2 linked regions of the Caenorhabditis elegans genome follow. The protein of the gene in region 1 purifies or fractionates together with the protein of each later gene. This does not show direct contact. Each region holds a gene or a part of one and is shown on either strand. Other genes may lie near its edges.

Region 1 (7,416 bases):
ATTTATAGAAGTTCGGATATCGAATGAAAAATTTTGAAAATCTGAAAAAATAATTGTAGAGCTTTTCACCCACTTTTTACATCATCTGTAGCACATAGCCGAATAGAAATTTGTGTTTCCAAAAGATCGAAGCAGCCGACAATGTTTTCCTAACCCGTAAGATGTCGAGCGCCGTGGAATGCATTATTTCAGACCTAGTAGCCACAGTCATTGAAATTTTGTGAAAAACTTAATAAACTATATTTTTCCAGCATACCGTGAAATGATTGGACGTGAATTCACAATGCTCGGCACATTGACATATTTTATTCCAATGTGCGTCAGTGTTCTCATGACGATGAATCGATTTTTCATCGTGATCCGGCCGACAGATCAACGAGTTTTCGGTCAACGAAGGATCTTTTTCTATAGCTTTTTGATTTTGGTGAGCTTGAGTGTTTACGATTTCAATACAATTAAATATAAAACTTTCAGATCCTCTGCTTCACTCTCCTCCTGATCCCTCGTCTCTCCTACTGCCCAGTCAACTTCCTCGCTAGTACACTGGTCTTCCTGACGGCATGTGCTCCAGAAAGACATCCTGTGACAAAATTCACAAATATCAATGCAATCTGGGTGCCGACGACCCTTCTAGTCATCAATGTCCTTATGATGCTCCATTTGAAAGCTCACCGCTATGATTTTTACACGAGGATACGGCAAAAATCGTCGGTTATTTCAATGCTGTCTTCGAGCAGCTTGGCGCAGAGTCAACTGAAAAGGGAGAATATGCTCATGCGGCAGACGGTTGCAATCACAGTTGGACTGTCGTTTTATGAAGTTGGATCTCTGTTAATGAGAACGTTTCCTGTAAGTTTGATTCAAAGGAAAATTTACAAAATGCTCCGTTTTAAAATCGTCGTGTCAAAGTTTTTTGGAAATTCATATAGGAATTTAGATTATTCTTCTTTTTGAAAATTAACTTGTTTTTTATTAAAAAATTACGAAAGTTTCTCAAAAACTGAATTTAACCTCAATATCAGCACAGGTCGTTTTTGAGCAACTTTTCGGTTTTTCAAACTGAAAGTAAATTTATTTTTAAAAATTGTAAATGTTTTTCTAGATGACTATTTTAATTTCCAAAAAAAACTTCGACACGACGCTGAGAAAAATAAATTTATAGCACACCTCTGCAGTTTGTTTGTCTTGTTCCCTCAGCGGATCATGCGCAGCCGACATCAGTCGAGGAACGCGTGGGCCACTTAATTCGATGATCGCGGTCCTCGATCGATGTCGGCTGCGCATTCTTTTCCCAGCAAATCTACAAAACTGTCCAATTGGGTAGGGAAAACCAAATTTTACAGCCAAAATGCACTTCAATATAATGAGCATATAATCTTTAAATATGTATCTGTCAATTTCCAGGACGCGTATAACAGTCTACCTCAATACGTGCGGGATTTAACATTTTATTTTCGCCTTGAGACCATATGTGCCATAAACTTTTTCGTCTACTATTTGGGAAGTCCGTCAACGCGAAAAATGCTCAAAAAATATTTGGGCGCAGAAGTGAAGAAGGAATTCAGTACTAGAAAAGTGTCCAGTACATTTCAAATGTCTCGGATAGAAAATTGAAGTTTATTTTAATTTTTTCAAGTAAATGCATTTCGTCTATCCTTATAATAAAAATTAAACCAAAACACACTTGTTGGGTGCACGTAGGACTGAGAAGAGACGCAGACAGTCTGACAGTCACACAATTGCGTAATACTACATAAGACAGTTGAGTGTTGATCTTTTGACCAAATTTTCGACCGAAAAATTTATTGAGAATTTGTCATTGGAAAATGAATTGACGGATTATGCTTATGAATTGTTGAATTTTCACAAAAAAAAATTCGATTCTCATTAGCCTACACATTTTTTATTCAGTTCAAAAAATGCTTTACAAATATTTTTACATTTTTCTTTTCACTTTTGCAATTTTTATCGGAACTTTGGAAGCTGATAGCTGGGAGGTTTGTGATTTTAATTTGGACTGCACTTGTTAACAAGTTTCAGAAAATTTTAAAATCCGAGAATGCTTCAAATTCTTTGAATGAAGTGAATGCTCAATGCGCAAATGATACTCGAACTTGGTTACAATCTCTGAAACTAGTTGCAGAAGTTTCTGTGGATTGCTTGATTTCGAGGAAGTGCAACAAAAAAGAGATTCAAATTATTAAGGATAACTTTTATGCGATCGAACGTGAGTTTTTGCTCTTTTATATTGGAAAAGTATGAAAATGTTTCAGAGCTCGACGCATTTGGTAAACTCCCCTCATCAGGTATCTTCGAAGTTCCTCTGATCTTCGATGGATCTTACCAAGAATGCCAAAGAATTAGTGGTAAAAAATATGAAACGAATTATTGCTACTTGGTCTTGGTTCCTGGCAGAGTAGGGATTTTCTATTTTTTTTTCGGCTTTTGCTTACTCTGTAATTCAGAACTCATCCTGCTCTATAGGCGGAGGTGGTGGCTTCTTGCCTAGCGCCGCGTTTTTCAGAAGTGCCACGTGTATGTCTGTATCGTGTACTTCTGAGGATCTCCCGCAACTTTTTAATCAACTTCCGCTGATGCCATTTACGGCTTGTGCAGCATTTTGTTCAAGTTTTCCAGTTGAGAAGGACTCGGCGTTCTGGGGGTTCTCTGCATTTATGTGCGTTATGATATCAATTTTGGTTCTGGCAACTTTTATTGATTATCTCAAAGATGCTATGAAAAATGAGCATTCCCCGCCGCCACAACCAAATTTGATCATGAAAATGTTGCTGACATTTTCATTATGGACGAATGCGGGGGTGTTATTGAGCGTGAAGGAGCAGAAGCCTGGATTTATAAAATGCTTGGACTGCATTCGGTTTTTGTCAATGCTATGGGTTGTTACAGGACACACGTTTACGTTTGTGATACCTCCAGGTAGGATGTTTGTATCAAAATATCTACTCAAACACCTGTTGTTCCAGATACATTACTCTCTATGTCACACTTCACCGATCACTTCTGGAATCACCTCCTACTCAACGCATTTGTCTCCGTTGACACTTTCTTCCTGCTGTCTGGAATCGTCGTTGCTTACCTATTCTTCAAGCAAAAGCATAAATCATCTCAAATCAAAAGCCCACTTACTTGGATCATATTCTACATGCATAGATATCTCCGGTTAACTCCTCCATACATGATTTTCATTGGTTTTTATATTGTCTACGGGAAATACGTGCAAGGTCCATTTTCGGCTAGTCAGTTTAGTGAGTTTGAAAGTACTTCTCAATTTTTTTGACTTTATAAAACAAATTTTCAGACACCCTGCTCTCTAGCATCGCAACTTGTGAATCGTACTGGTGGAAGAATTTGTTTTACATCAACAACATGGGAGATTCCAGTACAGCCTGCTATGCACCGTCATGGTATTTGGCAGTTGATACTCAACTATACATTTTTGCACCAATAATCCTAGTTGGTCTCTACTACTCGGCGATAATTGGGAGTAGCTTGATAGCAGTTGGAATGATCGGAAGTTTGGTTACTGTCTATATTTTGTATAGTATTTATGACTTGCCAGCTGATTTTTTTGGAAATGGGTAAGTTCAAATTTTCTGGCACATTCGGAAAATTTGCAATTTATAATTTCCAGAAACACCAATCTTCTATACGATATGATTTATCACAAGCCATGGATCCGATGTCCTCCGTATCTTATAGGTCTTCTTATTGGCTACGGTCTAGCTGTATTTGGTCAAAGAAAAATCCGGATTCATTGGTTCCTTGCGGTGATTGGATGGCTTGTGGCTTTTGGTCTTGGAATGGCATGCATGTTTTCCACATATGATTACGACAAAGGTGCTTACTGGAGGTAATGGGAAAGTTTTATTGATACTGAAGTTTGGTTGGAGATTTGAAACAAGAAATAATAGTAAAAAGTATGATATTGCAGTACCAAATGTAATTTTTGTTTCTTGGTCCAAAAAGATTAAAAAAATTTAAAATGTGAAATATGTACAGTGCTGGCCAAAAAGATATCCACTTTTGGTTTTTTGTGTGTAACTTTTTTCTCAAGCATCCATTTGACTTGAATTTTTCCGTGTGCATAAAGCGAAATGTTACGCAAATTTGCGGACCAAACATTACATGATTATCGATTTTTTCTGAATTTTATTTCAATTTTTTGATTTTTTCGTTTTTCCAATTTTCATTATTTTTTTTGAATTATCAATAAAACGCACTCTGTTTGTTGCACTGGATTTGTTTGGTTGATAAATTATTTTTAAGGTATGGTAAAATCTGTTGGGTGTAAAAATCTTTCCTTGGACGTCAAGAAAGCCATTGTAGCTGGCTTCGAACAAGGAATACCCACGAAAATGCTCGCGCTGCAAATTCAACGTTCTCCGTCGACTATTTGGAAAGTAATCAAGAAGTACCAAACTGAGGTGAGTTCGAAAAATATTATTTTTTAATAATAAATGTTTAGAAATCCGTCGCTTTGAGAATCTCGCCCGGCAGGCCTCGAGTGACAACCCATAGGATGGATCGCAACATCCTCCGATCAGCAAGAGAAGATCCGCATAGGACCGCCACGGATATTCAAATGATTATAAGTTCTCCAAATGAACCTGTACCAAGTAAACGAACTGTTCGTCGACGTTTACAGCAAGCAGGACTACACGGACGAAAGCCAGTCAAGAAACCGTTCATCAGTAAGAAAAATCGCATGGCTCGAGTTGCGTGGGCAAAAGCGCATCTTCGTTGGGGACGTCAGGAATGGGCTAAACACATCTGGTCTGACGAAAGCAAGTTCAATTTGTTCGGGAGTGATGGAAATTCCTGGGTACGTCGTCCTGTTGGCTCTAGGTACTCTCCAAAGTATCAATGCCCAACCGTTAAGCATGGAGGTGGGAGCGTCATGGTGTGGGGGTGCTTCACCAGCACTTCCATGGGCCCACTAAGGAGAATCCAAAGCATTATGGATCGTTTTCAATACGAAAACATCTTGGAAACTACAATGCGACCCTGGGCACTTCAAAATGTGGGCCGTGGCTTCGTGTTTCAGCAGGATAACGATCCTAAGCATACTTCTCTTCATGTGCGTTCCTGGTTTCAACGTCGTCGTGTGCATTTGCTCGATTGGCCAAGTCAGTCTCCGGACTTGAATCCAATAGAGCATTTGTGGGAAGAGTTGGAAAGACGTCTTGGAGGTATTCGGGCTTCAAATGCAGATGCCAAATTCAACCAGTTGGAAAACGCTTGGAAAGCTATCCCCATGTCAGTTATTCACAAGCTGATCGACTCGATGCCACGTCGTTGTCAAGCTGTTATTGATGCAAACGGATACGCGACAAAGTATTAAGCATAATTATGTTGTTTTTAAATCCAATTGCTCATATTCCGGTACTTTAATTGTCATTTCCTTGCAACCTCGGTTTTTTCAATATTTCTAGTTTTTCGATTTTTTTGAATTTTTCTGAAGTTTTTTCAAAATCTGTTGAACATTTTTGATGAATATTGTGTTTTTAGATTTTGTGAACACTGTGGTGAAGTTTCAAAACAAAATAACCACTTAGAAAAAAGTTACACACAAAAAACCAAAAGTGGATATCTTTTTGGCCAGCACTGTATATGTAAATAGCGCCAGAAGGGGATTTTGTTAAAATAAACGCATAACGCTTCAAGAAGACTTACTAAAGTGAAACATAGGAAAGTTTTGAAGTTTTACAAAGCTTCAAATTTTAAAAAAAGTTGGACTAAATGCTTCATATTTTTTTCATTATTTTCCAGATGTTTTGAAATTTCGGAAACTCAAAAAGTTTCCACAGTTATCTAGCAATATTCAAAAATGTCAGAAATTTCTAGAAATTTCTAATTATTTTCAGAAGATTTTTGGACTTTCCAGTTGATTAAAAAAGTTTCAAGACTATTGTAGAAGTCTCTAGAAATGTTTTTTTTAATTAGAGATTTTCAGAACTTTCCAGATTTTTCAGTTTTCTAACAATTTTCCATACGTTTCAAAGTATTTCAGCAAAATTCAAATTTTCATGAGAGTTCTAGAAATTTTTTTCAGAACTTTCCTCAAACTTTCCAGAATTTTTCAAAAAACATTTTTAGAGCTTTTCAGCAAAAAATCTAGGAAAAGATTTCCAGCATCTTTGCCCGAGCCACCTACTACAACTTTTCGCGGATAGCCTGGTCTATTGCAGTTTCCTGGGTTATTGTTGCAAACCATATGGGATGGGGAGGTACCGTAACTCTACAGTAACTTTTTAAAGTATAGTTTCGTTGCAGGCCCCATCGATGCATTTATGTCCCATCCGATGTGGCAGCCACTTGGGAGACTGTCATATTGCGCGTATATTGTACACTTTTTCACACTTTTTTGGTACCTAAATATTAATGATTCCAGTATGCATTTTTACTCAACGTTTCAAGTGGTGAGTTTGAGATTTTTATTTTTAATTTGAATAAAATTCAAAAATTCAGTTTATTTACTACGCGGTGCCGGCATGCCTCCTGTCCTACATTTTCGCTTTCTTCTGGAGCTCATTATTTGAAATTCCGATACTGAAGTAGGTAGCATCCGACATCTCGCGGGCCAAAAATTGTATTATTTCAGACTGAAGAAAATGATGATTGAAGCAATTCTCCAAAGAAACCAACGGTCAGAACTCACACAGGTGGAAACTTTAGTACAAGAGAGCAACGCGGGAAGTGAAGAGCAATTGATAAGATTATGAAAATAAAGTATTTTAATATACCATATTTTTGAAATGTTTTTGTTTTCAATGGCTTGTTGCGATTGCCAAAATTTTAAAAATATGAAATTTGTGAAAATTCTAAGTAATTTCGCATGTACCGCCCCCTACAATGTTTTAATACAAATAATTTTTTAAAAAATTATAGTATAAAAATGTAGGAAATTTTTTTTTGCCGACTTCCAAAACTATGAGTGGCAAAAACTGAGTAATTGTCACTTTTTGACAGTAAATAAAAATATTTAAAAAATGTTTTTGAAAAGTTTCATTATAATATTCGGTCATTTTGGCGCCATTCTGGTAGTTTTTACCATTTTTCCCACTGGCGTAACTCCACTTTTAAATGCTAATATGACTGGCCTACAAAACTTCAAAATACTTAACGTGATGAAAAATACTAGAAAACAATTCTAGGCATCAATTTGTTATCACAAACAAGTAAAAAAAATTCCCAAAAGAAATGGATCTCATCTATGCTCAACCAACCCTGATATTCTTACATTCGATTGTTTTACAACTGTACGAATTTTTCAATGGCCTCCTGGAAACAGCTCCAAGACAATATCCAGATCATGGGAGCCGGCGTTGCTTTATTTTTGAATTGCATCCTGATTAACATTATTACTAAGCATTCACCAAAAGAAATTGGTGATTA
Region 2 (4,975 bases), on another chromosome or scaffold:
TCGAACGATTGCTTAATTACGCAGAAATGGATTTGTGTCCTTCAAATTGGCGTCGGGTTGTACTCGGTTCAATCATGTTGGCATCAAAAGTATGGGATGATCAAGCTGTTTGGAATGTTGATTATTGCCAAATTCTTCGAGATACAAATGTTGACGATATGTAAGTATTTTTTTTATTTGGTCAGAAACCCCGTAATTAAATTATTTCAGGAACGAATTAGAACGGCGGTTTTTGGAATGTCTCGACTTTAATATTGAAGTTCCGTCGTCGGTGTATGCCAAGTATTATTTCGATCTTCGAACATTGGCACTTGCAAATGATTTACAATTACCAATTCAACCGTTGTATAAGGAGAGAGCGCAAAGATTAGAGGTAACCTTTTTGACAATTGATTTTCGGGGAAAAAGTTAAAAATTACCAAAAAAAATTATTTTTTTGTTGCATAAACAAAAAGAAATGTCAATTTTTAGATCAAAGGGGTCTCTGATGTTTTTCTGTTTTTTTTGCAATTTTTTTTCAAAATTTAATATTTTAGTCTATTGGAATAATTGAAAAATTTTCATAGAAAAATCGAAAAAAATATTTTCTGAAAATTAACAGAAAAAATGAATTTTTCATCGAATTATGTCTATGTTGATGAGAAGAAAACATAAATTATTTTCAAAAAAGAGCGATAATGGTCAAAATTAAAAAAAAAAATTTGAAAATATAAATCGAAAAAATACGAAAATTTGCGTTTTTTTTTTCTGTGTAAAATCGAAAAACATATAAAAAAAAAGAAAATAAGAACAAAGAAAAATTGTCAAATAGTAATATCCTTTGTATGCAATAAGATTGAAACATGATTTTTAATGTGCTGTTTATTCTCGAAAAAATAATTCTGAAAGTTTCAACATTTGAAAAAAACTTTTTAAATTCTTCCCAATTTCTTATTCAACAATTTTACAGGCTTTGAGCCGTGTCTTCGAGGATAAGATTCAATCATCATCGCTTCCAAAGCGTGCCCGGTCAGCTGAACATCTTGTCTTTGAGCATCCGGCTGTTCTCTCGTAGACATTTTTTTTTCTAATTTAAATATTTTGTTCAGTCAATTTATTGTAATATTTATAATTCTGTAGTTTCAATGGATTTGCCTTCTTTTTGATTTCAAGAATGTTAAAAGAGAAGGTATTTCCAAAACCGCTACAGTTTATTCTCGCATGTAACTTATTTCAACCTGCCCCAGTCAACCCCAATGCATAATAATTTGAAAACGCCATAATGTTTCTTTTGTATGTCTTGTCAACTGTTAATGTTTTTGCTTCTTCCTTTGCTATTCTCTTAATTATTTCTCTGCACACTATCGTTTTATCTTGAATACGGCTAAATTCGTTTCCTTTGACAAACCCCATCTTGTTTTCCTTCTCAAATTGCTTGTATTTTCAAAAAAAGAAGTTTGTTGGCTATTTAATTGACTCAATACCTATCTCAGAAAATCTCATTTTCTCTTTCTTTGTTTTCTTTCGATCCCTCCAGTATTACAAAATATCTGCAAATACTTCTGTATCACCATGATCAACCCATGTCCTCTTTTGAATAGATACATTTGAATCGATTACAGTAAAATTGTTTTCTGAAAAACTTTTTCAGAGTGTTTTAATATTTGATGGTTGAAAAATACCGATACTTGGCATTTATTCAAAAGTAGTTTAAATAGTTTTTTGTCCAGATGTGTTCACATGGTCATTCTCACAATTGTGCCGCAGAGCACATTCCAGAAGTTCCAGGTGATGACGTGTATCGCTACGATATGGTCAGCTATATTGACATGGAAAAGGTAAACATAAAAAACAAAAATGATTGAAATCAGCAAAAACACACTTAAAACGTTCGAATTTAAAGTTTTCCCGAAGATACCTAACGAGACCCAATGTTTGGGGGCGGAGCGTATTTATTTAGTGTTGGAGCGCGCTTGCACCTCTATGCCAAAGAGGCTTTTTTCTACGTACCCATAAATAAATAATTGAAAGATGCATTGTAAGATGAAACATATAAATATTCTGAGTATCGAAAAAAACAGGAATAGTTTTTCAAGAACTAATTAAATATTCTTGTTCGAAATTAAAATAAAAATTAAATTTAAAATGCGTTAACTGTAACTTCTCCCTACAATCTCACAAAATTAGGAAAACGCATCGCGAGAAATGCCATCCGCTGTCAACGTTTTTATTATTCAATTCAGCAATTAAATTGATACCAATTCTCTCAGGTAACTACTCTCAACGAGTCAGTCGACGGCGCCGGAAAGAAGGTTTTCAAGGTGATGGAAAAAAGAGATGACAGGTTAGCTAGTACATGAGGATTACATTTTTATATAGGATTATTCCGACGATAAAACATTCCATTTTAAAGAGTATTGTGGTAATGGGGAGTATTTTGAAAATTATTTATGTCTACGAAATAGTGGCTAATCGGAAAAAGTTGACAACTCTTCAGTATTACTCACAGAAATTGGTATAAACTTAAATTCCCAGACGTGAAAATTTGTAATTTTGGCGACAAGAATACGGTACCCGGTCTCAACACGACAATTATTTTCCAAATGAGAAAAGATGTGCGCATTTACAGAGTACGGTAGAGTTTATAGAGTACTGTAGACTAACGCTCATTTCTGTCGAATTTTTATCAACATAGTTTTTATTTCACGTTTTGTTCAAATTTATGTGTTTATATTTGAGTTATTAAATATATAAATGTATTTACCGAAAAAAACTATGACAAATCTATGAAGATCCGCAATATCGAACGTTCGAAACTACAGTACTCTCTAACTCTTTAAAGACGCACACATTTTCGCATTAAAAATTTAGTCGTGTCGAGACCGTGTACCGTATTTTGTTAAAAATCTCAAAATTCGCGTCCGGGTAATATGGGACTCAGCTTTAATCACATCTCGCAGCGATCTTACAGTAATCTACCGTACCCGCCACGCAGCCACATAATTTAGATTATTTAAAACAAATAAGTCATATGGTAATGTTAAAGTTTTAAAATTAAACTAGGTATTCTGAAGGTTCGCTAAATACTTTTTCGTAATGAAGATAAACTTAAGTACTTATTGTATCAAATTGCTGACAGCTGTCTTTCTATCTGTCAATAGAACAACCTGAACAACTAATCTGTCAACTAATGCCCCAATGTCCAGAGAAAGAAAAGTATACACGTACATATACACTCTTAAAAATCAAATTTCAGATTGGAATACGTAGAAAGTGATTGCGATCACGAGTTGCTATTCAATATTCCATTCACCGGACACGTTCGTCTAACGGGTCTCTCGATAATCGGAGACGAAGATGGATCACATCCAGCCAAAATTCGATTGTTCAAAGATCGAGAGGCAATGTCATTTGATGACTGTAGTATTGAGGCAGATCAGGAAATTGATTTGAAACAAGATCCACAAGGACTCGTGGATTATCCGTTGAAAGCTTCAAAGTTTGGAAATATTCATAATCTATCGATTTTGGTAGATGCAAACTTTGGAGAAGATGAGACAAAGATCTACTATATCGGATTACGTGGAGAATTTCAGCACGAGTTCAGACAAAGGGTAAGGAAAAATTTGAATATTAGCCAGACGCGAAATATTTTTTCACCAATGGGTCTCGACACGACGAATTTGTGAAAGGAGAAAAGATGTGCGTCTTAAAAGAGTACTGTAATTTTTAAATCTTGTTAGATACTGCAGAAAGTTTTATTGATTTTTCTGGATTTAAAATTTTTATTATTGAAAAACTTTTTAAAAAAATTTACATTTTTTTAAACGTCGAAGAAATGAAAGTTTTAAATACCGTACTCTTCAAAGGCGCACACCATTTCACATTTTACAAACAATCGTCGTGTCAAGACCAAGTACTGTATTTTTGGTGTAAAAATTGCACATCTGGCTTTTACAGAATTTTAATTTGTCGCCTCGGAAAAAAACCAATTTTCAGATTGCAATTGCCACATACGAATCAAGAGCTCAACTCAAAGATCATAAAAACGAGATTCCAGATGCTGTTGCCAAGGGACTTTTCTAAAATAATTAATTATTGATTACTTGTGAATTCGTTAGTGTTAATCAATCCACGTGGTTTCATATTGACTACCAGTATTTTCGATTGAAATGTTTAAATTGTAACAATACACGACATTTGTCGGAAAGTATGTCCCTCAAATTCTTCTTTGAAGTAAATTATTTCTCTCAATTGTCTTCCGTCTACCGTAATCCATTCCACGGGCATCTGCATCTTCAATCTTCAACGCCCAGCAGTAACCCTTTGACGACAAAATGACAACCCTCTGGGGGGCACATACGCACACATACACTTCTCTCCTCCCATTTCTTTTTTTCTCTCACAATATATTTATGAACGAATGAATGTGAGCGGGAAACTGAAATAGTGTTTATTGGAGAAGAGACGCAGAAGTGCGCTCCTCTACACTTAAAAAGACGGTGGCCGCGAGGGTGAAAAAAATGGAAGAAGCATACATTTTTTGTTGCGAAATGAATTCAATGGAATGAACAAGGATTGGTCAATTGTGAAGAGACGCAGAACAAAGGCAGAATTGTACAAAACAATACATAAAGGATGCATGAATCATAATAGGAATTTGGTATACTGTAATAATGCCACGTCATTATCTCTTTGGTTGAGAAAGTACGCGTTATCGTTGTATAATATCGTATTGGGTTACGGTAGTTTTTAAAAGACATGTTAAGTTTATCGAAATGTAGCGATGTTGGCCCCAAAAATACTGTACTTGGTCTCGACACGCCATCATTTTGATAAAATAATATACGCACCTTTAAAGTGTACTGTAACTTCAAACTCTCATCGTTGCAGAATTTTCATCGATTGTTACTAGTTCTTCGATCAGAAATATTAATTCATTGAAAACCTCAAAAATAAAGAAGCACGCATTTTCGCAAAAAATTATCGTGTCGAG

What was found.
Region 2: the proteins of oac-7 (region 1) and ZK353.9 fractionate together in Caenorhabditis elegans (co-fractionation; one large-scale study listed by BioGRID). This does not show direct contact.

The regions. Positions count from the first base shown.
Region 1 is NC_003283.11:16,308,010-16,315,425, forward strand, and holds oac-7 (Nose resistant-to-fluoxetine protein N-terminal domain-containing protein), read left to right. Parts: upstream 1-1,795; 5' UTR 1,796-1,919; coding exon 1,920-1,997; intron 1,998-2,040; coding exon 2,041-2,227; intron 2,228-2,273; coding exon 2,274-2,416; intron 2,417-2,465; coding exon 2,466-2,937; intron 2,938-2,984; coding exon 2,985-3,266; intron 3,267-3,319; coding exon 3,320-3,599; intron 3,600-3,652; coding exon 3,653-3,871; intron 3,872-6,153; coding exon 6,154-6,248; intron 6,249-6,294; coding exon 6,295-6,440; intron 6,441-6,489; coding exon 6,490-6,575; intron 6,576-6,622; coding exon 6,623-6,743; 3' UTR 6,744-6,766; downstream 6,767-7,416. Other genes in the region: srxa-7 (G_PROTEIN_RECEP_F1_2 domain-containing protein), read left to right, coding at 252-424, 475-849, 1,405-1,614; str-214 (Serpentine receptor class r-10), read left to right, coding at 7,295-7,416.
Region 2 is NC_003281.10:8,407,787-8,412,761, forward strand, and holds ZK353.9 (PITH domain-containing protein ZK353.9), read left to right. Parts: upstream 1-1,709; coding exon 1,710-1,817; intron 1,818-2,249; coding exon 2,250-2,323; intron 2,324-3,235; coding exon 3,236-3,593; intron 3,594-3,978; coding exon 3,979-4,065; 3' UTR 4,066-4,231; downstream 4,232-4,975. Other genes in the region: cyy-1 (Cyclin-Y), read left to right, coding at 1-160, 211-373, 950-1,054.